2 linked regions of the Schizosaccharomyces pombe genome follow. The protein of the gene in region 1 purifies or fractionates together with the protein of each later gene. This does not show direct contact. Each region holds a gene or a part of one and is shown on either strand. Other genes may lie near its edges.

Region 1 (15,392 bases):
TAATATGATTAGTAGAGATATCTGTAAGCTAGTCCAGAACGTAGCTCCTATAGGAGCTGCTGGAGCTGCTAACGCTCCAGAGGTTAGAAAAGTACTCCAGTCTTTGCATGAAAAGAAGGTAATCGATGATAATCAATATAAAGATGCTATGGCTACGGTAGAAGCCCATGAACAAGCGAGCAAGTCAGGTGATACCAGTACTTCAGGAGCCATTTCAAAAAACGACATTCTTAAGAGGATTGAAGAAGACAGAGAGCGACACAAAAGAATGCGTGAAAACATTTGGGCTATTTCAGAACCAGAGTTAGAAGCGGAAATTGCATGGAACACTACCCAAGGAATTACTGAAAGCGATTTGGAATCCCTAAAGGATGAATACGAAAAGTTTAATGAATGTCTTCATGCAACTTCCTGAACCGAAGAGCGAAAACATAGAGTGTAACCCAAATAGAATAAAAACATATAATTAACTAATAATTTTGGAGTATTTTATACATTACCTAATATCTGGTTTTTTTAGAGATGATGAATTTTCCCTCCGTAGCTTAGTTTTTATGGGAATCCAAGAAAGTAAATCGTGTCACAATGTCAAAGCAATAACAAAAAGGTTGCCCAAAGAATTTGAATGGCGGAAAAGCATAGAAATGAAATTTTTTATAAACAACCCAGTTTATTCGAGGACTACTTTACAAGAAAGTTTCTCTAACTTCGATTTTATAGCTTCAGCATCCTCTTTCAAAATATTTTCTTTCAAAACCTTTGGAGCACTTTCAACGAATTTCTTTGCGTCCACAAGAGATAATCCCAAAAGAGACTTCACCTCTTTGATCACCTTGGCTTTCGAACCAGCATCAAACGATTCGAGTTTCAAATTCCAGGTGGTTTTTTCCTCTTTCTTTTCCTCAGGAGCTTTCTCTTCAGAAGGAGCGGCTGAAGCTACTGCTGGAGCCACTGCTGCCATCGGAGCTATTTCAGCAATGTTTAACTTCTCCTTTAATTGCTTTACAAGTTCAGACGTCTCTAACAATGATAGAGAGCTTATTTTGTCAACCATTTCCCCAATTTGGGCATTATTGTTTTGTACAGATGCGGCAGCTCGAAATGATCGCGTGTTTACCAACGATCTTGCCCAGTTCTTACTGGAAGATAAAGCACGTCTTTTAAAGTTAGTATAAATTTGTTAATTAAAAATAATTACAATCTTACAGATTTCTTGTTTGGCGTGATGCGATGCGAAACATGCTGTATTTTAAAATTATACTTGAGGTGAAGTAAGGTGCAAGTGAGATGGGGGTTGGCAAGTTAAGTATAGTAACTACAACTTTTAGGTGATCATTCATCAAATATCTAAAATATGTTCAATGGATCTTATTAATTTTTCATTAGTAATAATTAGAAAATAAACTAACCTCGTAGTAAAAAATGCTCTAGAATTATTAAGTGTTCAACAGTTAGTTGAAGAGAACAAATAAATCTAACCCTTTATTTTTATGCTTTTATCTCCCTGTTAATTATCAGGCATATAACAAATAAAACAAAAATGCATAATGTATTGAAATATTGCAATAAATCCACAAATTGATGGTGGTATTACATATTAGAAAAAAAATTAACAATGAGATAATTACTTTATGCTGCTCCGGCATGCTTTGTCAGTAGACTTCATCCCACGACCATAGTACCAACCGCCTTCAATCAAATTCCTTTCATCACGTTCCCATTTAGACATTTTGGTATTCATGTCTTTAGGATCTAAATCTAGTAATGTTATGTGATCTTTACCAATGTATAAAGTCACATCTCGAAGGGTCATCGCTAACGCAACATCAGTACGAGAGTATTGCTCTTGTAGGTCACGAAGCTTCCGTAGTATACCAGACTGAAACAATCTCATTGCGATATCAGGACTCACAAATCCTTGAAGACAGCACAAAAACTTGGGCCAATTGTTGAAATCAAGCTGTAGAGGACAAAAACCAACGGGTCTACCACGCATACGGCTAAGGGCACACGTTCGACAAACAACCCAGTCAGGTGGAGCGGCAGGGGACTGAGTCAACCATTTTGGTTTCATTTCAATTCCATCTTTGAGATCTTTCATTACCAAACAGTATTGCTCATTTAAATTTAAATAAATACCAGAAGCATTTTGGGCCGCCAGCAAAAAATCCCTAGTAACTGGCTGCAAAAAAACCTCAATTAAAAAGCTTTCCATTCCAGCAAACAAAGGATAAATTACATTTTGATAGTATTCATAAACTTGTTCTGTAGTAAAAACCTGTCCTCGACGTCGAAGACGAATTACCTTGTCTTGAAAGTAAGGATTTTTACCAACATACTCAAACACCACATTCGCACTTCCTGAGGCAAGGTATGCCCATTCAGAAATCACCAGGGATTTACCGGTGGAGGAATGATTGGAGATAACGGATGTTGGTGAATAAGGTGCAGGGGATTTAAAAAGCGGATTCGATATAATTGGAACTTGAAAATTACTACTAGCAACCGATTCATCTTGGGACTCTACACCAGAAGAAAGGGCTTTCATGGATGGAGGACGCGACATAATTGGAGTTGAAGGAGTATGTGTGTCAACGGGAGAATTTGTAACAGAAGAGCTAGCGGTACTAGCCATAGGCGAAAGGCTTACCTGAGACGCTGAAGTATGCAAATTCTGAGCGATGAGAGAATTCATGGCATCAATTTTTCCAGCTTCCCACTCTCTATTTGATAAAACATCACCAGATTTTGGAAGTTCTACGGGAGGACGGTTGTTGTTTACGGCAATTAAGGAAATGCTTTCAGCAGCCTGGCAAACTGAGGAAAACTCAACGAGCCACGTTTGGGGAATATCGTCTTGAAAACAATCCCAAGGGCGAACAATGTTGTGCATTTTTCGAAACATTTGAAGTTGCAAGCAGTAAAAATGCTTCATAAGTTGTCCAAAAAAAACACGACTTTTTGCAATAAGAGTTGGGAAGGACAAAGTTAAATGCTTCTGAAGGTCATCCAATTCACCATTGACACGGACAAGCTGGCTTTGTAATGCTTTAATTTTACTTTTTTTGGTTTCAGGATCAGGCAATTCGTAAACAACCAATAATTCTTTTTGAATTTTTTCAAGTTCTTTTACTTTTTTATCTCTTCTTTTAATCATTTCAACTGCCTTCTTTACATAGCCTTTGACCTCCTTGCAAGGAGCAATAACTATGACATGGAAATTTTGCAGGGCAAGCAAGACTTCACGACGTTGACGTTCCAAGGCCTTGTTCCAATCGACCAATGTTCCGACAGAAGCAGCAGGTTGTTTTTCAGGAGGTAACTGTCTGTACAAAGAAATCCAAGAGGCAGTGACGGAGGGAGCTATACAAACCATGCATCTCCAAGCATCATAGAAGAGTCGAGAGTTATCGATTGTAGAACGAATCGCTTTATCTAATTTGTGGATCTGATCACTCCACTGCTCAATTTGTTGATCAGAAGCAGCAATATCTAATTGTTTAGGTTCTTTTTTAGACGTAGTCTTTGTATAATCTTTTGTAAATTAAATTAGCACACTATACAAATTCAAAGGAAGTAAGAAGACATACTTTTTAGAGGCATTTCAAATTAATAGAATAAATAGGATGCAAAAAAGAAAAGAAGAAGGGTAGAAAATGAGAATAGACCAAAATTCTGAACGAAATAGTTGTAAGAGAAGGAAAATATAACCAACTGGCTGATGAGTAAGTAAGTAAATGTGAATTGAAACAAGAAGCTCTAGGATAATTTTCTAGTCTAATAAGGCGGGAATTTTTGATGCTCAGCAAGGATTTGGCGGTTTGACAGGGAAGGTAAATCTTGGGGATATTCCCAAAGGAAATCAGAGGTTCTCGTATTATGGTATTAAATGTAAAAATAAGTTAAAGAGCAGGTGCTTTGAGCATCCACAGAGAATTCCAACTCCAATTCGAAAAAAATAACCCCTTTCGAGGCGTTGATTAATGGTGAAAATAACAAATGACTGATGTTAGGTCAGCTTTCACTTACTGATCCTATTTATGAATCTCGTAATCCGTATTTACGAAACTCAAGAAAAGAACAATTGCGACTATAGTAGTAAGAGTTGAAGTTGGAAATGCGAATTCATTAGCTAATTAATTGATTTGTGTTGCAGAGTATGTATAGTAAAAGTTACTAGTAGTTTGAAATAGCTGCACAAAATATGTGTCTGCCAGGTGGTAGTGCGTTCTGGTGATACAAGTCTTGAAATTGCGACATGATTTGATAACTTTATATACTCGCAAGATGGCCAAACTAACTAACCGGGCGATTTGAAAATGTGAAGTTTGGTACCAAATCGAGTTTTTCCGCTTATGTTTGGCAAATTCTTCAGCTAGTTCAAATCGCCGGTGCGAGAAATAATTCCGATCCGTTAGGCGATAAAAAGCGATGCGCCTATATCATAATTTTCTAAGAAAGTCATTTTAACAATTTTAAAGTTATCATGCTAAAATCGCTGACCAAAAAATCCGAGGCTGGTCGAGATTGATGACTTCGCAAACCGAAAGGTTCAGAAAAGAATTAGCCATATGGTGTTGCATTGGTTTGTTGAATAAATCATCTAAAAAGAAGCCGATATCTGTAACTTGTTTGAAAAATAGCGTTGTATTATGAGTGAGAATGAGAACGTTTCAGAGATCAGTGACTGTTGAGAAATTTTCCATCGACGGATCAACATTAAAATCAATATGTTTTATACATTAGTCGAAAGGAGTCTATCTTTTGGAAATTTAATTTCGGAAGAGAATGTTGACTCACATTAAGTGTAGTAAAGATAGCAACATTAGCAGGAATGGTAATTACGGACTCAACGACTTGCGGAAAAAGTTTTTTTTCTCCAAATACACATCAATGTTTTCCCCGGCCGTTACCTTTTGAATATTAAATTCTAGAAAACACACTTAGAAGTCTATAGCGCAAAAATCATATCGAAGGCATAATATAATAATATTCGAAAATAACAGATGTATTAACTGAGAACAAAAAAGGAAAGTTTTATGTTACATTGTATGAACGAGAAGCCAAGGTTTTTAGGAAAACGTTGAAATAAATAAAAGCCGTGAGCTTCATATCTAATTTGAAAATAAATGTCAGACAACTATGTTCTTAAACAGTAAAATCGTAGCGGCAGAGAGGTCTTTGTAAACAAATCTCATGAACTTGTAGTCGATCCGCCGGCAGATATATCGTCTTCGACTTCGGTAGACAAATTCAGTCCGTGCATATTTCTGATTTCTTCTTTGAGGATAGAATTGACTAGACGGTGCTGCGCCAAAGTGTTCTTCCCTTGGAAGGCTTTGCTTTTAATTGCAACTTGATACATGCTGCCACATCCTCCAGAAACGTCGATAACTCTCAAAGAACTAGGTGAAAGCTTCTCAGTGAGTATGTCCTTTATCCTTCGTTCTCCGGGTGTCGAATAAAATCGTTTAGTAATGATCAAGGGTTTCTGAGGATTTTTCAAAAATAATGGGCTTAAAAGCCTACCGATGGCTAACTTCATATTTAAACTTGAATATTAGAAGGAAGTAAATTAAACTGGTATCTCAATAATGATAAAACGGGATTTAGGAAGTTTTTTGTATCTGCATTCGCCTATTGGGTTGCTAGTATAGTTTAGTTAACTTCATCAGTCCCGGTCCAACCTACTGCTATTTCTACGACCCATTTGTCTAGGTGGATTTCATTCGAAGCAAAGTCGCTCTTTATTAGTATAACTTACAAAGATATAATAACTAGAAAACTGTGAAAACTTTTAAGGGGACCGTCCGAGCTTGGTGTATATTTAATTACAACGTTCAGACTTTCGTGGATTCTTTTATTTAAAACGAGAATAATTAAATTTCGCTAATTAGTCGATTTCCTAATAAGTGATTGTGTTGAATTGTTGTGTTCAAAAACATTTTTGTATTTGCCAACGCAGAAATATATTACATATTTGGATAAACTATCGAGTTCCTAACCTTTATTTTCTGAGCAAACTCATATAAACCTATAATTTATACATCAAGATTACTCATCGTTGTTCAACTGGAAAGGTACTTTTAACATTGAATGTTTCATGACATTTTGATACCTGCCTAACGCCTATGAAAATGCATAATGCGCCAGACGAATACTCATCTTGAAACGTTTTCTCTTTTTGACGATGTTTGTACTTGTTTGCTAGTTGACAAGGTGTTTTATTGGTCCCAAATTCATAAAGTACGAAAATTAGTGGATCGATCAATTGAGCGAATGGAAAGCTGTTCTATTATAAATATTATAACCAAATATATTATAGAGCAAACAGACCTTGACCAAGCGGCAAAAAATATTCTGCAATTTCGTGAACTTGATCCATTGTTGCGGAGATTGTCAAGCACTTCTTTACTAGCATTTACTCGACATCTGAAGTACTACCTCTCATTATATCTACCATCATGCAAATTTGAAATTTGTTCAACAAACCAATACTTTTCTTCCTCAAAGCCTGAAGCTTGCGTAATAGCGCGTGAATCAATTAATGCTGGAGAAGATATTACAGACCTCTGTGGAACAATTATTAAGTTATCTCCTAAAGAAGAGCGGAATATAGGAATTGGAAAAGACTTTAGCATCCTTCATTCAAGCCGCTTAGATTCGATGTGTCTATTTTTGGGCCCTGCACGATTCGTTAATCATGACTGCAATGCTAACTGTCGATTTAACACTTCTGGTAAGCGCATTTGGCTGCGCTGTGTAAGAGACATAAAACCAGGTGAAGAAATTACTACCTTTTATTCTTCTAATTACTTTGGCCTTGAAAATTGTGAATGCCTTTGTGTCTCATGTGAACGAATGGGCATCAATGGTTTTAAAAAGCTTTTCCATACTAGTGCTACTTCAACAAGTTGTTCTTCCAAGAGTAGTTCTGATGTTTCCGATCTGTCTTCTTTGCCGCAGTCAAATCGTTACGTGATTTCCGAGGAAGATCGTAGCTTCTTGAATATTTGGGATTCAGGTGGTGAACTGAGTGATGCGTCCAGTTCTGATTTGGATGAGGAGTTTTCACTATTTATACCAAGGCACAAAAAAAGGGTGTGGTCTCGAGAAAAAAGGCTTTTGTCTGAGATGGCCATAACGAACCATAGTCCGTTACTGAATGTGGATGATTATCGAAAATTTCGTGAAGATCTATGGAAAAAAAGACATGGAAAAAGAAAGGTTTACCAATGCTCAAACTGTAGCCAGACATTTATTAATGAAGACATTCAAAATTCGAGTGCATTTTGTCCGAAATGTATTAGACATTCTAAACTCTTTTCATTACCTTGGCCTTGTAGACATAAAGTTAATCGTGAATTGAAACTAGAGAAAGAAAAGGAAATTAATACAAAAAGGAACTTAGTTACCAGCTCGCATAGTATGTCTCTGCGACACAAAAAAGCTGTTGATTATCAAAGTTAGTTGACTAGACTATTTATATTAAGATTGGAAATTTTGGTTAATTTAGGTCATTGTTAGTTGGACTTTAAAGCATTTATTTAAAAAAAAAAAACTAAAATCTTGCACTATTCAGGGTATATCCGAAGGTGAACAATGTACATTTGAATCATTCCGTTCGCTAATTCAATCTATTGTTGATTTTTTCATGGGATTCACCACCTCTATTAACTAAATATTTGAATGCTTTTAAATTCAATAAATTAACGTTCAATGTATTGACTTGTTTTAATATACTACGTTTTTATAACTGAGGGAAATTTTGGTTGTGTAATATGTCACTATATAAGCTGTGCCCGGTTGGCCTCACAAACTTTACTAGCATCCACAAGTTTTTTAAACTTGACCCCCTTTTCCTTTAACTTTATCAGACATATCCATAATGGAAGGGGAAAATGATCCTTTATTAGGATCTTATAAGCCTAAACGAAGAAGATCGAGTCTTGTTTACGGTTTGTCAAGACCCCAATTTCTTGACACCGCAGCTTCGGAAGTTTCACCTATTCCACAAGAAAGACCCACTACTTCCTTAAGAAAGCCTACACCTAGGGTACAAAGACCTGCGACTGATGTATCATATGGCGCTTTAGAGGAAACAGAAGAAAACGAATCTATTGCGAGTGGCCTTTCAGTACAAGAAGACTTTAATAGCAAGGCATGGTGGAAAGAATTAACATTACTTATTAAATTCGCAACCCCTGTTGTATTAACGTCTTTACTTCAGTATGGTGAGGTGGTTACTACTGTTTTCTCTTTGGGCCACTTGGGTAAAACAGAGCTTGCGGCTGCAAGTCTGTCTAACATGACTGCCACAATTACGGCTTTTGCTATTTATCAGGGGATTGTATCTGCTTTGGATACCGTTGGAACTCAAAGTTTCGGATCTGGAAATTACGAAATGGTGGGTTTACATTTACAGAGGATTCTGGCCATATTGTTGTTGATACAATTCCCTATTTTCTTGATATGGTGGAAAATAGAGGGCATACTTTTATTCCTTAGACAGGATCCTCTTACTTGTATGTTTGCGGCAAAGTATATGCGAGTAATGATGTTGGCTAGTCCGGCATACGCATTATTTGAAGCACTAAAACGTTTCCTTCAGGTGCAAGGTATATTTCATCCTGTAACATACATTTTAGCAATTGTTGTACCTATTAATATTTTTCTTAATTACCTTTTTGTGTGGAGTCCCTGGGTTGGTTTCGGTTTTCTAGGTGCACCGGTCGCTGTAGCATTAACGCTATGGAGTGCTTGTGCTGTTCTAATTATCTATATTATGAAGGTAAACGGACGACAAGCATGGGGAGGTTTTAGTAGAGAAGCATTAAAAAATTGGGGCCCGTTATGTCGATTGGCTGTTCCTGGTGTAATTATGATTTGCAGTGAGTACTGGGCTTTTGAACTCGTTACTTTCGCATCGGGCGTGTTGGGTACCACTGAATTAGCCTCTATGTCTGTTTTGTCTACTACCTCGACCCTTTCTTATAATTTGGCTTTCGGTGTCGCTGCTGCAGCTGCCACAAGAGTAGGAAATTTAATTGGTGCTGGAAATACGAAACTCGCTAAGCTAGCTACGCACGTTTCTATCAATTTAGGTGCTGCAATTGGTGTTATCATTGCTGTAATCCTTTTTTTAACTCGCAACACATGGACTTACATTTTTACGTCTGATAAAGATGTCGTCGCATTGGTTGCAACTATCATTCCCCTTGTTGCACTCATTAATATTGCCGATAATACACAATGTGTAGCTGGAGGCCTTCTTCGGGGACAAGGAAGACAAAGGATTGGTGGGGTAGTAAATTTCATCGCATATTATTTATTGGGTTTGCCTGTTGCCATAATCCTTTGCTTCAAGCTAGATTGGGGGCTGTACGGTTTATGGATTGGAATTGGAGCTGCAATTCTAATTATTGCTGGAGTAGAAACTTGGTGCTCATTGCATGTCAATTGGGACCATTTAGTTGAACTTGCTAATCGTCAGTTTGATGAGGCTTAAAAGTTGATACGGACAAGTTAATGATTATTTAAATATGTATTGTGGTTTGTCATAAATTGATATATTTGAAGAGATATGTTCGGTTTATGATACCATGGTTACGACTACTAACAGTTGATTGATAAAAGTATTCGAGTCGGTACTTTTTCCAGTCTTCAAGATTTGGCCATGTTTTGGCCTATCCTAAAAATTAAGTTTACGAAAATTGCAGTGCTTTAAACTCTCATATTTATGAAGCTTATAAAAGTAAATTAAATTAATGGTAATTTGGAATCTTTTTGGGTGATTAATATATAAAATACCACATATGCTAGCTAGCAACGTTGGGCGGTAGCATTCAATTAAATATTATTTCTTTTTAAGACTTACTTAAAGAATTAATTTAAGTTTGAATAAATATGTAAATCATCTTGCAGATGCGAGTATATTAATTGCCATAAATAATTCTGTTCGCAGTGAGAATAGTTACCGAGTACAAATCGCTCGCTCAGAATTATTAAACGACTTAATATCAAAAGTTAATAAAATATGTCTCTGGTTTCATATCCTCGATCAGAATCCGAAAGCGATATTGAAGAAGAAACACCATTAGCTTCTAAAAGTTTCGATCCTACTTTGTTTCAGCATGCGCGCAGAAAATTGTCGGTTGACAGCACTAAAAAGTCACCTAAACGCCTGAAACGGCAAGTTGATTTACAGAAATCTTCTTTTAATGATAAAACTTTTAATGAATCTGATGTTATCTCTAATGAACGATTTAAATCTAATGATTTACTTGAACTTTTGCCTGCCCCAAAAAATCAAGCTGAATTAGCTCCAAAGTCATCTAAAAGATCGGACCTTGATTTAAATGAAAACTATTTATTACCTAATAACTCTGTAAGCGATTTAACCTCTACTGGATCCTCCGAAACTGTCAAGAAATCAACGTATTCAGAAAAGTCTGGTAACGTTTCGTTATTTAATATCGTAGGATCAGAGTCAAAGCAAGCCTCTTTAGTAGATTCCGATCAGAAACCTTACCAACCAATTTTGATAAAACCTAAAGCTAGAGCAAATCCTCCGAAATTGAGGAATCAACCCGAGAACGATTTCATTTCTATTGCTAATCACTCAGTACATTCAAATGCAGAGGACATAAACATTATCAATGAAGATTACATTGAAATTGGACGCCACCGAAAAGAGAAGGGACGAATTATAGACGTTGATATCAACAAACTTCCAAAACCGACCCAAGAAGCATTGCCAAGCGCCCCTACTATTAAAAGTGTTGCACCTGGTCGTCATCAACTGTCTTCTCTTGTTGAAATGGCTATCAGTCAAAAAGACAACTTTGAAGCTTATTTTGAGCAGCAACGATCAAACAAAAAGGCATCTTCTCAAAAGTATGGGTTTTAGCTTTAAGTAAATGTTACGCCCCGATAGTTAGTTTTAGGTTTTAACTGCTCGTGTATTTGTAAATTAAAAGCTGTTTATCAACAGATTCATTTTATGTATTTTTTTTTAGTTTCTGCGAAAATAGCAGACAACAAAATATGATTTTACTTATTTTATTTTACATACTAATGACTTTATTCATCGCTATTCATAAGCATACTGATAATACAATATTATCTTTGCAAGTATGTCCCAGCTATAATTCATATTTGCAATGCAACTAGCCTTTTTTTGTTAATTTTAAAAAGGAAACTTGGCTTTAATCTTCGATTTATGGTATATCCAGAGTTTGAATTGTTTAACCATATAATCAGTGTTCTCACTGGGACTACCACTTATCATAGCGTCTACCGATTTTGTGTGACCTATGCCTACTCCACATGACTGAGGTGAAGAAGGATTTCAATAAATTATAAGAGGTTTTCGTGCTTTTAGCATCAATTTTAATAGAATTTGAATTAATATTTGCTATAAAGAAGAAGGCTCGTCTTTTGTTGTACTTCAGGGTGCTTATATGATACTGTGTCCACATTTTAACACTCGATAAGGTATTATAGTCTGTAAAGTCTAATTAAGCTATCCTGACGATGAAAGAGCAAGAGTTCTCATATAGAGAAGCAAAAGATGTGTCTCTTGACTCTAAAGGCTTAGAAAACAGTTTTCTTTCTTCTCCAAATCGAGAAAAAACACCCCTTTTTTTTGAGGGTAACAGTAATGAAACCTCGGGATATGATCAAACAAAAAACTTTACACATGGAGATGGCGATATGTCCCTTGGAAACCTTTCGGAACTAAACGTTGCGACAGATCTTTTAGAGTCACTTGATTTAAGAAGCATGTATATGCATGGCTATGGGCACCTCGATTCATCTTTTTCTTCTCAACATAGTCCTGATAATCGTAAAAGAATGAGTAGTACATCAGTGTTTAAGAGGATTAATTCCGAGGAAGAAGGTCGCATTCCTAGTTTGACGTACTCGGCAGGAACTATGAACTCGACAAGTTCTTCTACTGCGTCTTTGAAAGGTGCTGATATTGTTGCAGATTATGAAACATTTAATCCGGATCAAAATTTAGCTGAATTATCCTTTGACCGCTCCAAATCGTCTCGCAAGAGGGCGGTAGAAGTAGCAGAATTTAGTCGAGCTAAGACAATGTCTCCGTTGGAATACACTGTTCAACATCCATATCAATCCCATAATGAACTGTCTACAAACCCAGCCCGAGCAAGAGCTGGAAGCGTTCCCAACTTGGCTCGCATACCATCTGATGTCAAGCCCGTACCTCCAGCACATCTATCTGCATCTTCTACTGTAGGTCCAAGGATTCTTCCTAGTCTTCCCAAAGATACCACAGAGGACAATCCAGCGTTGGAAAGGGTCGAAACGACGGCGTCTCTCGATATGGATTATAAACCTTTAGAACCTTTAGCTCCCATTCAGGAAGCCCCTGTTGAAGATACTTCAGAGCCTTTTTCTTCAGTCCCAGAGGCCACCTTAGACGACTCAGATATCTCTACAGAAAGTCTTCGTAAAAAGGTTTTGGCCAAGATGGAAGCAAAACGGATTTCCAGTGGATCTTCCTATGCTAGTACACTTAGGAAAGTTTATGATTTCTCTGAGCTTTCCCTTCCCACCAACGGTAAAGACTATGATGAGTTATACCTTCAATCTTCCCGTAATTCAGAACCTGAGATTTCTACTATTATCAATGATTCTTTACAACAGGAAAATATGGATGAGGATATTAGTGCCACTTCAATTCCGAAATCTCAGGCCGCCTATGGTCATGGATCTGTAACGTATCATGAAGTCCCCAGATACAATCTAACTTCTGCTTCCGTGGGATATAGTATATCTAGTCAACGTGGTCGTATAAAAAGCAGTTCTACCATTGACAATTTGAGTGCTATTTTAAGCTCTGAAGATTTACGTCACCCATCAATGCAACCCGTACCAGGAACGAAGCGTACTTATAGTAATTATTGTGAAAATGAGCCAAACAAGTCTAGCCAAAGTTTAGTCAGTTCTGAGTCCCATAACGTCGAAGGATGGAATTATTCGGAAACTGGTACAGTAGGTTTTTACGACCCTAGTGCCGAGATATCCGCCAGCATTGATGAACTTAGGCAGTCTACGCCTGTAGCCAGAGATAGCGAACTTTTAAGTCGTGCACATTCCTTTGATTTGAATCGCCTTGATCTTCCAAGTCAGGATAAGAGTACGTCTTACGAAGTCCCGAATGGTACTGAAAATCAATCACCACGTCCTGTTACTTCTCTTGGATTTGTGAATGAAACATTTTTTGAAGAGAAACCAAAGGCGCCCTTGCCACTTGGTCGCTTTTATATACATTTGAACAGCATTTTGAATATTTCGATAAGTGAAGTCCATTCACCTATCAAGATAATAGTTAATACGCCTACGCAAAATATGCAGCTTCCTTGGCAAGCTGTTAATGGGAATAATAGGTTGGACCATGATTTTGCTTTTCATGTTGACGATAACTTTAAAGTGAGTTTTATGTTTCTTGACATCCCTATTGAGGACAAGTCCAACGGTTCGAAAGGAGTATCTGCTACAAAAGACGTTTCAAACGGTAAGCCTGCTGAAACGAAATCCAAAGCTAGGAAATTTTTTGACAAGCTTTTCAACCGACGCAAAAAGAGAAAACTCAACAAGGCTGCTGCAGTTGAGAATTCAAAGGCTAAGAAGTCAGTGGTTATCAAGAAAGTCTCGGGTACTGCTACGTTAAATTTGGGTAATGTCAAAGACAGTTGTTTTGGAAAGGCTTTCAACGTAGAAATACCCATCATTTCCAGAGGCTTCTTGGAAGCGATTCCTGTAAAAATAAACTCTATAGGGAAACGTACACTTGGTAATCTAACTTTGACTTGTTTGTATATTCCTGAGCTTTCGGTTCCAGAGCAGGAATTGCCATTTACCTTAGAACAAGCTACGATGGACTTGCGACACGTTAGAAGTAACTATCTATATAATGAGGGATACTTGTATAGATTGGAAGATTCATCTATTCGAAGACGTTTTGTCGTTTTACGCTCAAAGCAGCTGAATTTTTATGCTGAAAAAGGTGGGCAATATTTGGATACTTTTCAGCTTTCTAAGACAGTAGTTTCAATCCCAATGGTAAATTTTTCAGAGGCAGTTTCAAACCTCGGTCTAGTAGCTGGAATATTGGCTACATCTGTTGATAGAAGGCATGTTCAGTTGTTTGCGGACTCTAAAAAGGTTTGCCAAAAATGGCTTCAGGTGATGAATTCACGCTCGTTTGCTCTAGATAGGGGTACTGAGAAATTATGGTTACAAGAATACGTGAATTTTATGGCTTAATATCTGAATTTATGAATACTAATCGTCTTAATGTATTTTTTGAATAATTTTTACTTATCGGATTTACTAAATGAGGGAGTTGAACTGAAATTATATAACTACTGAATTAATACTTATAGATCATTTTTCATTTTTAATCTGAATAATTAATCAACTTTTGGTTTTTTGAATATACTCTATAATGAGTAAAGTAATATAAAGGTGTTTTGTGTTGGCTAAATTTACATTACCTATATTTTGCCGTACGCACTCTAAATTGTTACAATAATATAGGGGTCAAGCAACTACTCAAATCACATTATTTAAAGGAGATGCAAAAACAAGATGATTTTTCATTTAAATATTGGACTATCAAAGTCCAACGGGGGTCAATTTTAAAAAGCCATGAGATGGAGAACCTTCAAAGTACATTGGGTTTTCCACCTCCTGAGATGACCTTTGGGAATAATTACATCTCAATTGAATACAAGAATCAGCCTGTAGTTGGATTTTTTACTGAAGATGCTCTTAAAATGGTTGGTACCAAACCTGAAGATGTAATGCAAGTTTCTTTTGCAAAAGACTGGGCCAAATCCAGAATTAAGCCCGGAGAAGAATACCCTGTGATTTACCCATTTGATTGGACTTATTATACTGATTATCAGGGAACTATACAACGTCCAAATGCAAAATTCATTGAAATTGATCAGGTAATACCTGTTCAAAAAATACTTAACGCAGGACAAAATTTATGGTTCAATGAGATAATTCTTTTCGAAGATGAGTTAGCAGATAATGGAAAATCAATGTTTGATGTGAGAGCTCGAGTTGTTCAGGGTCATTTAATATTGTTAGCACGCCTTGTCGTACGTTTAGACAAGGTAAATGTTCGATTGAATGAGACGAGGATATATATTGATTTGTTGAATGATTTTCTCTTGAAGGACTGCCGTAAAAAGCAAGCTACTTACGACAAAATTATTAAACAAATACCTGTGGGGGGAGACAAAGCTGCATTGCTAGATGATAACAATTGGTTAAGTGAGCGCCTTGATACCGTTGACCATAAAATCTATAAATTGAATTTTTGATGCTAAAATGATTCGCTAATGGCA
Region 2 (16,055 bases), on another chromosome or scaffold:
TGTTGAACATTTCAAAAATGTTGCATATCAGTTAGCCATGAGTTGGGCTCTTAATATGATGTTCCAGCCTTTTAAGACTGCATACAGAAAATAATAATTAACTACGATATGGTCGCATTTTAACTGTATGAAACTTTTTTTACAAGAGGTTATTAGAAAATTCAATTGGAGGAAATCCCACAGTGTATCAAAACAGTTGCTGTTAAAACTTACTTTACACTTAACTCGTAAACATTCAACATTTTAACGTTCGATTTTCGAGTAGCAGCTTCAAAAAAGTGCTCGTTAATTTTTAACACATAAAAATGTGTAAACAAAGCAGCCACATAACCGATGTCTTACATATTCCTTCTGTACCCGTTGATATCCCAATTGAAGAAGGGATTTTAGTTGTAGCAAACAAAAACAAACGATAATAACAAAATAAAAATGATATTATACCACTTAACCCATGAATAGCTAAATTATAGTAAATTTTTAAATTAAGAAAAATTTTTTTTAAGCAGGACCAATTAATGGCGACGAGAGCGCTTGATTTTTTTTGAGGTATTTCTCACTTGCTTGGAAGTAAGCTTCTTTTCCTTTTCTCCCTCTTCAACAAGCCATTGTGTCTCTAATTCCTTATTTTTACCCTTATAACCCCATTTTGGTACCCATTCACCAGATGCTTCATCAAACACCAACCTGCCTTCCCGCTTCTTAGGAGCAATACCTTTAATACGAGCAAACCGTTGCCATTTGGTTTCGGGCTTGGGTTTAGGTAAAGGTTTAGCACGAGGAAGAGGTGTAACAGTTTCAGGAAGCTGTAAAAGGACGCCATCTGATGTACGCTCCTTAGGCAAGGAAATCATTTTGTTCACCAATTGTTGAACGTTATCTCTACTGAGAGAAAAAAGGAATGATTCTTTCTCTGAACCGCTAAGCTTAGTTTCATCTAAGGGAGAAATATCAAATGCAGCCATATTTCCCAAATCGAAATCTAGAGGAATGGAGTTTTCTATTTGTGCAGACATGATTAACGAAATAGGGACAAGGAAAAAAAAAGGGTTGATAATACAATTAAGTGACAAAAAGTTCTCAAAAAAGACTGCAAAATTGATTTGTTAAAAAGTTGGTTCAGGATACGAAATTCTTCTTTCAAACTCCAAAATTTTTATCAAACTACTGAATATATAAGAGAAAAAGCTCTCTTTCAGTTCAGCAATCTACTGTTTTTACTTTCTTTATGACAAACGAAGAAAGTAAGAAAACTTTTACGATTCTTTAGTTTTTGCAAAAGTAGAGACACTTATTAGCAATACGTTAGTTCTCTTTATTACTGAACGCCAAATCTACCCTATTAAAAAATATTAGCAATGCGCTAAGAGCTCAGTAAATACTTACCATCCGGAAGCAGTCAGTCTCTTCATTTACGTGAGAACAGATATGTATACTTAAGATTTACGAGAAAAAAATACCTCTAACAAAATGCTACCGAAGTTTAGAAGCAGAAGTAGTATTATTAAGAATACAGAGAGAATTTCTAATATCCTGTCCGGTGGAAAACTGACTGTTTGCGGTAGTAAACTGGGAGGACTCTACACTTTTGAAAAATGCACATTTAACAAATACTATTCATCCTCACAATACCAGCATACGGGTAGACCTGTTGGAGGAAATATACATTCAAGCTCTAACCAGCAGCGTCAAAAAAATTCGGAAGCGCCAAGAATTAATGAAATTCCCCCCTCAACTTCGTCAGTAGAGAAATCGACGACTATTCCCAATAGTAGCGTTGTATTGGATCATCTCTTAAATGAAGGAGAAAATACTTTAGAAGAGGTGAAGCCCTCTGAAATTCATCCGCATATGTCTTGGTCCAGCAAGTCTGAAGGTAAGATGTTTAAAATCCCCGAGGAATTGCTTAATAAACTTAATGGATTTGGGGCTTTAGAAAAACAAAAAAAAAGTTTCTCCTTTTTTACCAGTGCTTCCCTTTTGCACAGGAAAATTACAACTGAATTAGTGAATGTACTGCAGCGCTCCAAAGACCAGGGTACGAAGGACGGACGTTTTCTTCTTGATGGTGCTCCAGGTTCAGGAAGAAGTATTGCTCTCATACAAGCTGAACTTTTCGCCTTATCACAACCTAATTTTATAGTCTTGCCAGTCCATAACTGCGAAGGATGGGTAAATTCAACGAGTAGTTATGGTTATGATGAGCAACTCAAGTTGTGGGTGCAACCAGATTTAATTAAGGGATTTCTAACTTCTGTTATGAAAACTAATTCTGATAAACTTAAGAAGCTAAAGACCTTTGAAAGTCATGAGTTGCTTCAGAACGAATGCATTCCTGCTGGTACCGATTTACTTTCCTTTCTTCATAAGCTAATTGCTTCCTCGAACGCTCCTAAATCTCTGGAAATATTTTTACAAGAACTCAATAACAATACCAAGTCAAATTCCAATATGAAGGTGTTATTAGTGATCGATAATATTTCTATTTTATCGGTCGTTACCAAGTATAAGGACAAAAAGAACAACTTCCTTCCCCCTAAAGACTTTTACTTTATTAATTTACTTTTCAAATATATTTCGGGTTCGCTTACTTTTAATCGTGGTACTGTTTTAGCTGCTACTTCTAGCCAACCGCGTGTTTCTACCCCGTCATTGGATATAGCTCTTGGAGTAGCTCACAGAAATCCTTACAAATCTTCTGATGAGACTATATTAGATTCATTACAGTCCGTGCATATTCTTAACATGGAGCCTTACACTTTAGATGAGTCACGTCGCATGATGGAGTATTTGGTATCATCCAACGTTTGCCTTGAAAAGGTTGATAATTATTTGCAAAATCATGTCCTTAGTGGTGGTAATCCGCGAAAGTTTTTTGATGCTTGCACACGTCTAGCATGATTGAGATATTCAAAAATTTCTATCCACTACAACTCCTTTAACGCGGTTTTATTTTTCTATTTTCTATTCTCATGTTGTTCCAAATATGTATCATCTCGTATTAGGCTTTTTTCCGTTTTACTCCTGGAATCGTACCTTTTTCACTATTCCCCCTAATGAATAATCTAAATTAGTTTCGCTTATAATTGATAGTAGTAGAAAGATTGGTGATTCTACTCGTGTAATGTTATTAGTTTAAAGATACTTTGCAAAACATTTATTAGCTATCATTATATAAAAAAAATCCTATAATTATAAATATTAATCAATATTTGCGGTCACTATTTATTTAAAACGTTATGATCAGTAGGACACTTTGCATATATATAGTTATGCTTAATGGTTACTTGTAACTTGCATGACCGAACACCATACCCCCAAAAGCAGGATTCTTCGCTTTCTAGAGAATCAATATGTATACCTATGTACCTTAAATGATTATGTACAACTTGTTTTGAGAGGGTCGCCGGCAAGCTCGTATAGCAATATATGCGAACGCTTGAGAAGCGATGTACAAACGTCCTTTTCTATTTTTCTTCATTCGACTGTAGTCGGCTTCGACAGTAAGCCAGATGAAGGTGTTCAATTTTCTTCTCCAAAATGCTCACAGTCAGAGGTATATATATTTTTGTTTTGATTTTTTTCTATTCGGGATAGCTAATATATGGGCAGCTAATAGCGAATGTTGTAAAACAGATGTTCGATGAAAGTTTTGAGCGTCGAAGGAATCTACTGATGAAAGGGTTTTCCATGGTAAGGTATTCTAATTGTGAAATATTTACCTGCAATTACTGTTTCAAAGAGATTGTATTTAACCGATAAAGAATCATGAAGATTTTCGAGCCATGCATGTAAACGGAGTACAAAATGATCTCGTTTCTACTTTTCCTAATTACCTTATATCTATACTTGAGTCAAAAAATTGGCAACTTTTGTTAGAAATGTAAATACCGGTTAAGATGTTGCGCACTTTGAACAAGACTGACAAGTATAGTATCGGCAGTGATGCCATGCATTACTTATTATCCAAAGGAAGTATTTTTGAGGCTCTTCCAAATGACAATTACCTTCAGATTTCTGGCATACCACTTTTTAAAAATAATGTGTTTGAGGAAACTGTGTCAAAAAAAAGAAAGCGAACCATTGAAACATCCATTACTCAAAATAAAAGCGCCCGCAAAGAAGTTTCCTGGAATAGCATTTCAATTAGTAGGTTTAGCATTTTTTACAGGTCATCCTATAAGAAGTTTAAGCAAGGTAACTAATACTGTTATCCTTCATAACTAATTTTAGATCTATATTTTAACTTACACTCTATTTGTGATCGGAACACAGTACACATGTGGCTTCAATGGATTTTTCCAAGGCAATTTGGACTTATAAACGCATTTCAAGTGAAGCAATTGCACAAAGTGATTCCACTGGTATCACAGAGTACAGTTGTGCCCAAACGTCTCCTAAAGGTATACCCTTTAATTGAACAAACAGCAAAGCGACTCCATCGTATTTCTCTATCAAAAGTTTACAACCATTATTGCCCATATATTGACACCCACGATGATGAAAAAATCCTTAGTTATTCCTTAAAGCCGAACCAGGTGTTTGCGTTTCTTCGATCCATTCTTGTTCGAGTGTTTCCTAAATTAATCTGGGGTAACCAAAGGATATTTGAGATAATATTAAAAGGTATTGTATAAAATTTATTACCACTAACGATTTTACCAGACCTCGAAACTTTCTTGAAATTATCGAGATACGAGTCTTTTAGTTTACATTATTTAATGAGTAACATAAAGGTAATATGCCAAATTTTTTTACCATTAATTAACAATCAGATTTCAGAAATTGAATGGCTAGTCCTTGGAAAAAGGTCAAATGCGAAAATGTGCTTAAGTGATTTTGAGAAACGCAAGCAAATATTTGCGGAATTCATCTACTGGCTATACAATTCGTTTATAATACCTATTTTACAATCTTTTTTTTATATCACTGAATCAAGTGATTTACGAAATCGAACTGTTTATTTTAGAAAAGATATTTGGAAACTCTTGTGCCGACCCTTTATTACATCAATGAAAATGGAAGCGTTTGAAAAAATAAACGAGGTATTTTAAAGTATTTTTTGCAAAAAGCTAATATTTTCAGAACAATGTTAGGATGGATACTCAGAAAACTACTTTGCCTCCAGCAGTTATTCGTCTATTACCTAAGAAGAATACCTTTCGTCTCATTACGAATTTAAGAAAAAGATTCTTAATAAAGGTATTAATTTTTGGTCATCAATGTACTTTACTTCTAATCTATTATTAGCAGATGGGTTCAAACAAAAAAATGTTAGTCAGTACGAACCAAACTTTACGACCTGTGGCATCGATACTGAAACATTTAATCAATGAAGAAAGTAGTGGTATTCCATTTAACTTGGAGGTTTACATGAAGCTTCTTACTTTTAAGAAGGATCTTCTTAAGCACCGAATGTTTGGGTAATTATATAATGCGCGATTCCTCATTATTAATTTTGCAGGCGTAAGAAGTATTTTGTACGGATAGATATAAAATCCTGTTATGATCGAATAAAGCAAGATTTGATGTTTCGGATTGTTAAAAAGAAACTCAAGGATCCCGAATTTGTAATTCGAAAGTATGCAACCATACATGCAACAAGTGACCGAGCTACAAAAAACTTTGTTAGTGAGGCGTTTTCCTATTGTAAGTTTATTTTTTCATTGGAATTTTTTAACAAATTCTTTTTTAGTTGATATGGTGCCTTTTGAAAAAGTCGTGCAGTTACTTTCTATGAAAACATCAGATACTTTGTTTGTTGATTTTGTGGATTATTGGACCAAAAGTTCTTCTGAAATTTTTAAAATGCTCAAGGAACATCTCTCTGGACACATTGTTAAGGTATACCAATTGTTGAATTGTAATAACACTAATGAAACTAGATAGGAAATTCTCAATACCTTCAAAAAGTTGGTATCCCTCAGGGCTCAATTCTGTCATCTTTTTTGTGTCATTTCTATATGGAAGATTTGATTGATGAATACCTATCGTTTACGAAAAAGAAAGGATCAGTGTTGTTACGAGTAGTCGACGATTTCCTCTTTATAACAGTTAATAAAAAGGATGCAAAAAAATTTTTGAATTTATCTTTAAGAGGTGAGTTGCTGTCATTCCTAAGTTCTAACCGTTGAAGGATTTGAGAAACACAATTTTTCTACGAGCCTGGAGAAAACAGTAATAAACTTTGAAAATAGTAATGGGATAATAAACAATACTTTTTTTAATGAAAGCAAGAAAAGAATGCCATTCTTCGGTTTCTCTGTGAACATGAGGTCTCTTGATACATTGTTAGCATGTCCTAAAATTGATGAAGCCTTATTTAACTCTACATCTGTAGAGCTGACGAAACATATGGGGAAATCTTTTTTTTACAAAATTCTAAGGTATACTGTGTAACTGAATAATAGCTGACAAATAATCAGATCGAGCCTTGCATCCTTTGCACAAGTATTTATTGACATTACCCACAATTCAAAATTCAATTCTTGCTGCAATATATATAGGCTAGGATACTCTATGTGTATGAGAGCACAAGCATACTTAAAAAGGATGAAGGATATATTTATTCCCCAAAGAATGTTCATAACGGGTGAGTACTTATTTTAACTAGAAAAGTCATTAATTAACCTTAGATCTTTTGAATGTTATTGGAAGAAAAATTTGGAAAAAGTTGGCCGAAATATTAGGATATACGAGTAGGCGTTTCTTGTCCTCTGCAGAAGTCAAATGGTACGTGTCGGTCTCGAGACTTCAGCAATATTGACACATCAGGCTTTTTTGTCTTGGAATGAGAGATGGTTTGAAACCCTCTTTCAAATATCATCCATGCTTCGAACAGCTAATATACCAATTTCAGTCATTGACTGATCTTATCAAGCCGCTAAGACCAGTTTTGCGACAGGTGTTATTTTTACATAGAAGAATAGCTGATTAATGTCATTTTCAATTTATTATATACATCCTTTATTACTGGTGTCTTAAACAATATTATTACTAAGTATAGCTGACCCCCAAAGCAAGCATACTATAGGATTTCTAGTAAAGTAAAATTAATCTCGTTATTAGTTTTGATTGACTTGTCTTTATCCTTATACTTTTAAGAAAGATTGACAGTGGTTGCTGACTACTGCCCACATGCCCATTAAACGGGAGTGGTTAAACATTAAAAGTAATACATGAGGCTAATCTCCTTTCATTTAGAATAAGGAAAGTGGTTTTCTATAATGAATAATGCCCGCACTAATGCAAAAAGACGAAGATTATCTTCTAAACAAGGGGGATTAAGCATATCCGAAGGAAAAGAGAGTAATATACCCAGTGTTGTTGAAGAAAGCAAGGATAATTTGGAACAAGCTTCTGCAGATGACAGGCTAAATTTTGGTGACCGAATTTTGGTAAAAGCCCCAGGTTATCCATGGTGGCCGGCCTTGCTACTGAGACGAAAAGAAACTAAGGATAGTTTGAATACTAATAGCTCATTTAATGTCTTATATAAGGTTTTGTTTTTTCCTGACTTCAATTTTGCATGGGTGAAAAGAAATAGTGTTAAGCCATTATTGGATTCCGAAATAGCCAAATTTCTTGGTTCCTCAAAGCGGAAGTCTAAAGAACTTATTGAAGCTTATGAGGCTTCAAAAACTCCTCCTGATTTAAAGGAGGAATCTTCCACCGATGAGGAAATGGATAGCTTATCAGCTGCTGAGGAGAAGCCTAATTTTTTGCAAAAAAGAAAATATCATTGGGAGACATCTCTTGATGAATCAGATGCGGAGAGTATCTCCAGCGGATCCTTGATGTCAATAACTTCTATTTCTGAAATGTATGGTCCTACTGTCGCTTCGACTTCTCGTAGCTCTACGCAGTTAAGTGACCAAAGGTACCCACTTTCAAGTAATTTTGATCATAGGGGAGAAGCAAAAGGAAAAGGAAAGCAACCTTTAAAAAACCCGCAAGAGAGGGGCCGTATATCTCCTTCCTCACCTTTGAATGACCAGACGAAAGCACTAATGCAGCGACTACTTTTTTTTCGCCATAAGCTACAAAAAGCATTTCTTTCGCCGGATCATTTGATAGTTGAAGAAGATTTTTATAACGCCAGTAAATATCTAAACGCAATAAGTGATATCCCGTTCCTGAACTACGAATTGATTACTTCTACTAAATTGGCAAAGGTCCTGAAGAGAATTGCTTTTTTGGAGCATTTAGAGAATGACGAACTTTATGATATTAGGCAGAAATGTAAAAATTTGCTTTACAGTTGGGCTATGTTTCTTCCAAACGAACCATCGATAAAAGGCATGTAGTGTTTCTCAACGTCAATAGAAGCTGATTTCCTATTACACACGACACCCTTTTACTTATGCTTTGGAGTACCGGTATTGCATACCAGATCGGTGGGAAGCAAGTTGTTATCATGAATACTCTAAGTAAGATGCGAAGCGCTAGTTTGCCGGTTGTTTAAATTTAATGTTATCATCTAGATACAATTTTTACAGTGTATTTTAGCAGTTAAGTTTACGTTAAATTAGTATTTGTGGCTATTCACACAAGAAGGTAAAATTCACATTTCTTTGGCAATATACATTGTTCAGTTGATGGTTCCTTTTTTTTTTGAAAGCGGCCTACAAGATATATTTCTAATTCACGTGCCTTTAGAAAATTGCCTCTATTTGTCTATATATTAATTAACGAAAAATATCAAAAACTTTAAGCAGCAAAAATTAAGTACTACAATTTCATCCAATACGACTATACCTTTAGTATCTTCGTATTCTTTTTTTTTTGTCTCCTAAGTCAGTTTATCTGTCTTCACAATTTTTACGAAGCATTGGATTCTTCAAAAATCTATAAAACGCTACAAGGCTTTAGTGCGCTAATTTAATACGAAGATGTAGACTTCAAAAAAAATGTACGACAAAGAACAGTTACCATATGCATTGAGATTATAAGCTACATATACTAGTGAAATACACAAGAAAGGAATTTCATTTTCTACTCAGAGATTAGGATTCATTTTTACTAGTCAAAGAAAAGAATTACTCCTCTTCGGCTTCTTCACCTTCACCACCCTCTTGTTGAGAGCGGAGACGCTTTCTCTTGCAGCGACCAGGGCGACCACCACCATATGGAGAGGAAAGAGCAAAGTCGATATGCTTTTGGGCATCCAAACGGACAACGAAGGAAGGAACATTGACAATTTGCTTACCAACACGGATGTGACGTTGGAAGATCAACACACGTGCATGATGGATGGACTTAGCCAAACCAAGCTTAAAGACTTGAGTTTGCAAACGACGCTCCAAAAAGTCCTCGATACGGAGAGCCAACACATAATCAAGCTTCATACGGGACTCATCCAAAATGCCCAAACGAACAAGACGACGAATGATGGCATTTCCCTCGAAAAGACGCTTAGGATCCTTCTCGTCAAGGGTCAAAAGCTCACGAGCAGCACGACGGATTTTAGAAAGGGTAAGTGCTACACGCCAAATTTCATGCTTATTTCTCAAACCATATTCACCAGCAAGCTTGAGCTCGGCATCTAGACGGGCCGACTCGAAGGGACGACGAGGAACCTTGTAAGTCTTGGATTGCTTACGAGGAGCAGAAGGCATTGTTTGTTTGGTGCTTTGCGCAACCTACCTTTGCTATGTATTTTCAAGAAGGCACAACAGTGACGGCTTTTTGAGATACTGTAGTATTAGGTTAGGGTTTTGTCCCATCACCATCCCGTACCGATATCCTTACTACACACTATTCCTACTAACCCTCTAGCTTATATCCTTGTGAAGGAAAAGCAGAAGTTAGATTTGTAAATAGAAGGTGTTGTTTATTTTTTCTAAAATAGAAGATCACATATGTAAGGGATACACTGTATCTTGTGAGTGCGTATTAAACTCTATTTGAAGATATTAATTGCACAATCCTGTGAGTGTTGTGCTGTTACTGTCTCTTTTTTGGTTTTTCTCTGAAATTGATCATAATTATTGACGATTTTACTTTTTTTCGAGTTTCAAAATATAAAAAACAAGTTTTTTTTTAGTAGTTCATCTTACATGGGTGGTGAACTTCTGAATACTTTAGACTATACATACAATTTAGACGTACATATACGTACTTACATAAAGAAAGAGGATTTCGATTACTTCATTTGTTTAGATAAGTCGAAAAATCTATTTTTGCTAGAATATTGATCTTTATTTTCTTCTCTCATTTCTCTCTATTTTATTTCTGAAGGATTGATCAAAAAATGGGTTTACCAGTTCATAACCAGCCCCATAAAGCACACTCGGGCTCTCCCGCATCTACCTTTTCCGCTGCTCTGGTTTCTTCTGCCATTAGCAATGTTATTGGGTATCCTCTTGACTCGATTAAAGTTCGACAGCAAACTTACAATTTCCCAACCATTCGCTCTTGTTTCCAAAACGCTGTTAAAAACGAGGGATTAAAAGGTTTGTATCGTGGTCTTACTCTACCATTGATATCAGCCACTCTATCGAGGTCAGTATCATTTACGGTGTATGATTCCTTAAAACTTACATTTGCTCATGTGGATCCTACACTTCGGTATTTCATTTCCGGGCTTGGGACTGGTACTTTTATATCACTTTTTGCTTGTCCATTCGAGTATTCAAAGTTATATTCACAAATTGACATGCTTCTTCGCAAAACAAATATGGGCCGTCGGCAAGAGACAAATTCCAAGCTAAGTGTCAGACCTCCCTTGTCATCTTTCCAGAGCGCTTCTGACATTGTTCGGAGGTATGGATTTACTGCATTATGGAATGGGTATCGTTATCATCTAACCAGAGACGCTCTAGGATCGGCTTGTTATTTTACAATATACGAAACCTTTAAGAAAAATCTGATAGCGAATGATGTGAAGCCGCATTTTGCTTATGCCTTCTCTGGTGCTTTTTGCGGCGCTTTGTCTTGGATTTTGGTATTCCCGGTGGATACAGCCAAATCCATTGTACAAAGAAATACACTCTTATCAATTAAAACCCCTTTGTCTTCCATTCCTTGGTTATCGTTTACTATATATCGAGGTATAGGTATTTCATTGATGCGAAGCGCTCTTATAAATTCTTGCAATTTTACGCTTTTTGAATTATTTCGGGAAACTAAAGTATTAAGCAAATAGTTTTATTCTAGTTTTACGAAGTCTTTGTTGTCCATTGAGTCGATAACCCGTCGGAATGCATTTCTATACATATTTTAACTTGCATTCGACTTGCGGTTGAAGTTTAATCACATTTTAGAACTGGTTTTGTCGTATATATTTAAAGTCCCATGGAATACTTTTACAATTTTTTTGATGCTATTTATTTTTTATTAAAAGCATTTTTACCTTCAAAAACTCCCCTCTCATCACTTTTCATATCATGTGCTGCTGTTAGTTTGACAGTAATTCCACTGAACTTGTTATACATTTCACGAGTTAACCGTTTCAATCTGAAAGTATATTTTCTTTTCCTCTTTTCCCTGTTTTTTTTTGTTTTGTTTTGCTTTTTACGTCCTGTTTTGGTTAATCCAACTCTTTCAATATCTGTATGTACCTACGCTTTTTTTTCTTGTATAGTTGAATTTTGTTTTGTAGATTTTTGGTAGAGGTGTAAATTGGATGAAATTTTTGAGACTAATAGTCCTTCTATTTCAGCGATTGTTTATTTGGGCATTTAAAACTTTAGCTATTAGATTTAGTATGTTTAATGTACTTTCGGACAATGCTGGCTTTCTTACTCAATACATGCTACCTAAGTGAGTTACCACTACCATCCACATATATTGTGAAGGAAGAACAATGTCTCGAATTTTGGTACGTTATACATTGCTTTTTTTAAGAATTTAGGAGCTAATATATAGAAATCACTAAGTCGTAGTTATTCGACCACCTCCCCTCGTCTTTACGGTATGAAATGACATTTTGATTTTGATGAGATTACTAATGGCAATTTAGTCGATGTAGTACAGGGTTTATATATTTCTTCTTTAAGTATGTTATTATATTCTCTTAATTTACCAATTTCTTACACGTCGTGTCTTAGAATCATATAAGCCTAAAGCTGTCCCTTCCGAAACGGCAGCTGAAGTAAAGGAATGGTCCATGCCTAGCGCTCCTACTGCTCCAAAATACGATGTTGACTTTACTTCTGCTTTAAACTCTTACAAGTATGAGGGAGAAACCATTCCCACTAAGGCTGCTGGAGAAAGCAACAAATTTGACTTTCTTGAATCAGTATGTATCTCTTCCTTTACATTGCATCAGCTAACTTTTCCTTCAGTATGAGAATGAAAAAGAACATTAAATTTATTCACTGCTTTTCCTATGCTCAATTGGAAGATGTTTGGTAATTAACTTTGATTAAATTTTGCCTTTTATTTTCCGATTATGAATTTACATTTTCATCTACGTCGTTGAGATTTGATTTTATATCTATTTCATGCCTTTGTCTGATCCTTCTTTTGATTGACCACGAACGTGGATGTATCTCTATAACTCCCGTCTCACTATGATTTATATTCTAGGTTAACGTATCCTTTTTCTGCTTTCTAAATGTCTTTGAACATAGCTGAATTCAATGCTTAGTCGTCTCTTCGATTACGGCACGAAACAGTTGTTGCCTTGATTGATAGAAAACCACTTTCATTGAGTTGAGATGTTTTTCTCTTTGCAAAGTATTTCTATTGAGTTCACATTTGGATTTTTTTTTTCAATTTATATCAACTCAATACAATTGCTTTTATTCAACAATAAGGATTAGCTTGATAAAATTTGATGTCTACTGTGGGTCATTAAAAATATCAGTAAAGTTCACAGTAGTTTTCTTGGAATTGTAATTTTTTTTCTTAAAAAAATATATAATTCACTATTATAAGGTATTTAGTATATTTTCATGCCTAGTCTCATCGTTTTGCCGATTGAGGCTTCATATATAGCAGTAGTATAACTTGCTTAGTACTATCCACCTCACATCCAACATGGAGCAAGTCATTCAGAATAATTGCTCTGAAGTAGACCCTCATGTCCTCAGCTACTGCACTGGATATGCTAATGATGCTATTAAAGATGTAGATGAGGCTTCAGACCATACGATCTCTCTCATTCGTAATTTATTGCTAGATGCTGGCGCTCGTGAGGAAGCGGTACAGCTCATACAAAACGAACTAGAGAAACAATTTAAAGAAAGAGAGGAACATCTAGATACATTACAAACGAATGGACTTGTTCGTTTGAAGGAGACTATTCGAATGGATTCCCAATCCGAAATTTCGTCAACTATGGGTTTGGTTGGCGAAAAGATGGAATTAGATGCTGTAAAGGGCCGTAAGGTTGAATCTAGGGTAGATAGAAGAAAATTAGAGAAGGCTGAACGGAAGATTCGTGCCAAATGGGAGAAACGTACTATCAAAGCAGAATACGAATCTTCAAAGTTGGTTCAACCCGAACAAAAGTCTTATGAAGAGTTTTACATGGCTGTAAATCCTCTAGATTTATCCGGAAGTAACCAAGGAAAATCGAAAGATATTAAAATTGATGGAATTGATCTTGCTTTTGCTGGTCATCGTATATTGACTGGTGCTTCGTTGACACTTGCACAGGGTAGACGATACGGTTTAACTGGTCGCAACGGTATCGGTAAATCTACTCTTCTACGTGCTCTTTCTCGCCGTGAAATTGCGATTCCTACCCATATTACCATTCTTCATGTTGAGCAAGAAATGACAGGTGATGATACACCTGCCCTACAGTCAGTTTTGGATGCCGATGTTTGGCGCAAGTATTTGATTCAGGACCAGGAAAAGATAACTAATCGTCTATCAACGATTGAAAAAGAATTGGAAGAACTTAGTAAAGACCAAACTGCTGATCAAGCTATTTCCCGTCGCCTTGAGCGTGAACGAGACGAACTTGATTTACGGTTGTTAGATATTCAAAATAAGCTTTCCGAGATGGACTCTGATAGAGCAGAATCACGCGCTGCTACTATTTTAGCTGGTCTTGGATTTACTCAAGAAATGCAAAGCCATGCTACCAAGACTTTTTCAGGTGGTTGGCGTATGCGTTTGTCATTGGCACGTGCTCTGTTTTGTCAACCAGATTTACTACTTTTGGATGAACCTTCGAACATGCTTGACGTTCCCTCAATTGCTTTCTTATCTGAATATTTACAAACTTATAAAAATATCGTTTTAGTCGTTTCACACGATCGTTCTTTCTTGAATGAAGTTGCTACTGATATTATTCATCAACACTCTGAGCGCTTGGATTACTATAAGGGTAATTTTAGTCAATTCTATGCTACTCGTGAAGAACGTTGCAAAAATCAACTTCGTGAATATGAAAAGCAAATGGAATACCGCAAACATTTGCAATCATTCATTGACAAATTTCGTTATAATGCTGCCAAATCATCCGAAGCACAAAGTCGTATTAAGAAGTTGGAAAAACTGCCGATCCTTGAAAAGCCTCAAACTGAGGAAGAAGTTGAGTTTGAATTTCCACCTGTGGAAAAAATATCTCCTCCTATCTTACAAATGTCTGATGTCAATTTTGAGTATGTTCCAGGTCACCCTATTCTCAAACATGTTGATATTGATGTTCAAATGGATTCTCGTATCGGTGTGGTTGGTCCCAACGGTGCTGGTAAATCAACAATGCTTAAGCTTCTTATCGAACAACTTCATCCAACATCTGGTATAGTTAGTCGGCACCCCCGACTTCGTATTGCATACTTTGCACAACATCATGTCGATACTTTGGACTTAAACTTGAATGCCTTAAGCTTTTTAGCTAAGACATTTCCTGGCAAAGGTGAAGAAGAATACCGTCGTCATCTTGGCGCTTTTGGTGTTAGTGGACCTCTTGCATTGCAAAAAATGATCACGCTTTCTGGTGGTCAGAAATCTCGTGTTGCGTTCGCATGCCTAGGTCTACAAAACCCTCACATTCTTATTCTAGATGAACCCACCAACCATCTGGATATGGAGTCCATGGATGCCTTGACAAGAGCTGTTAAACGCTTCCAAGGTGGTGTGATTCTTGTTTCTCACGATGTTGATTTCTTGGACAAGACATGTACCAGTATTTGGCAGTGTGACCATAATGTCGTCTCCAAGTTTGATGGAACAATTTCACAATATAAGAAATTCTGTCTATCTCAACAGCCAACCATGACTATAAAAACTTAATGGAATAGCATAGACTTAAATAATAATAATATAGCTGGCGAGGATAAATAAAATCAAATTCTTTTATCTATGAATCTGGATAAAATATGTAAACGAAGTTAACTACATTTTATACAGTAAAAGACATGAAGTGTTAAATAAGATTAAAACAGTAAATTAATTATAGCTAAGTAAGTCATAACACGGTAATGGACAAGAAACCTGGAAAGCATGCAAATCATCAACCAACACCCAAAAAATAAAGAGAACAAACCCAATCAATTAAAAAGTAAAGAGGAGGAAGGGGAGAAGAGGAGAAAATAAGGCGGACCAAGGAAATCAATAGCAGAAAAAAAAAGAATATACAGACTAGTAAACAAAAAAAGAAAGAGAAAGGAAAAAGTTAACTCATTAAATTCGTTTAGGAACTTGACTAGAAAACCTCGAAGGATTTGGAAAAAAGGACATGGGAAAAGACGTAGGGCGAGAGATTGATGGAGAGGAGGAAGATGAAGGTTGAGTTTTGACGGCGTTGAACGATTTAAAATTCTGAGAGGTGAAAGACTTTGGAGGAAGAGGAATGGACGGATAGGTATTAGAGGTTAAAGGACGCTTTGTAGAAGTATTAGTAGCGTTAGAAGAAGAACGTCCAAGGGGATGCAATTGGGGAAAGCTCCGAGAGGATGAAGTAGCTGAAACAATATGACGGGTAGCAGAGCCTTTTTGAGAAAATCACTTTTAGCTCTCGCCATTAGAGAACTTTTTGGACAATAATTACTCATGGGACGCGGACGCTTAGGAGGCCGAGCAGCTCTAGGCTCACGCTCTAAAGGAACAATTCGCTTGTTTTGTTTACTTTGCTCTAGCTTGGTGTAAGCACTTCG

Evidence for each region.
Region 2: the proteins of set9 (region 1) and pdp1 purify together in Schizosaccharomyces pombe (affinity purification with western blotting; one study listed by BioGRID). This does not show direct contact.

Annotation. Positions count from the first base shown.
Region 1 is NC_003421.2:1,146,359-1,161,750, reverse strand, and holds set9 (histone lysine H4-K20 methyltransferase Set9), read left to right. Parts: upstream 1-5,689; 5' UTR 5,690-6,144; coding exon 6,145-7,470; 3' UTR 7,471-7,837; downstream 7,838-15,392. Other genes in the region: Lsk1 complex gamma subunit lsg1, read left to right, coding at 1-415; mrpl12 (mitochondrial 54S ribosomal protein bL12m), read right to left, coding at 671-1,157, 1,207-1,241; ipk1 (inositol 1,3,4,5,6-pentakisphosphate (IP5) kinase), read right to left, coding at 1,625-3,534, 3,591-3,603; protein fra3, read right to left, coding at 5,195-5,545; SPOM_SPCC4B3.13 (MatE family transporter), read left to right, coding at 7,889-9,508; protein Cwf20, read left to right, coding at 10,037-10,909; anillin-related medial ring protein Mid1, read left to right, coding at 11,536-14,298; TIP41 type 2a phosphatase regulator Tip41, read left to right, coding at 14,610-15,368. UniProt on the Schizosaccharomyces pombe protein: Histone methyltransferase that specifically trimethylates 'Lys-20' of histone H4 to form H4K20me3.
Region 2 is NC_003423.3:2,053,351-2,069,405, reverse strand, and holds pdp1 (PWWP domain protein Pdp1), read left to right. Parts: upstream 1-7,121; 5' UTR 7,122-7,223; coding exon 7,224-8,303; 3' UTR 8,304-9,035; coding exon of another isoform or gene 9,036-9,614; 3' UTR 9,615-9,771; downstream 9,772-16,055. Other genes in the region: ribosome biogenesis protein Rrs1, read right to left, coding at 513-1,013; rsm23 (mitochondrial 37S ribosomal protein mS29), read left to right, coding at 1,468-2,898; telomerase reverse transcriptase 1 protein Trt1, read left to right, coding at 3,296-3,553, 3,610-3,690, 3,762-3,880, 3,932-4,194, 4,231-4,623, 4,663-4,733, 4,773-5,042, 5,083-5,199 and 8 more; rps902 (40S ribosomal protein uS4), read right to left, coding at 9,036-9,614; ort1 (carboxylic acid transporter), read left to right, coding at 10,250-11,143; atp14 (F1-ATPase subunit H), read left to right, coding at 11,804-11,818, 11,866-11,911, 11,960-11,995, 12,048-12,238, 12,285-12,308; AAA family ATPase Gcn20, read left to right, coding at 12,982-15,192. UniProt on the Schizosaccharomyces pombe protein: Necessary for DNA damage checkpoint activation. Required for the association of set9 with chromatin and subsequent methylation of H4K20. Associates with H4K20me1 to increase the concentration of set9 on chromatin to perform H4K20me3.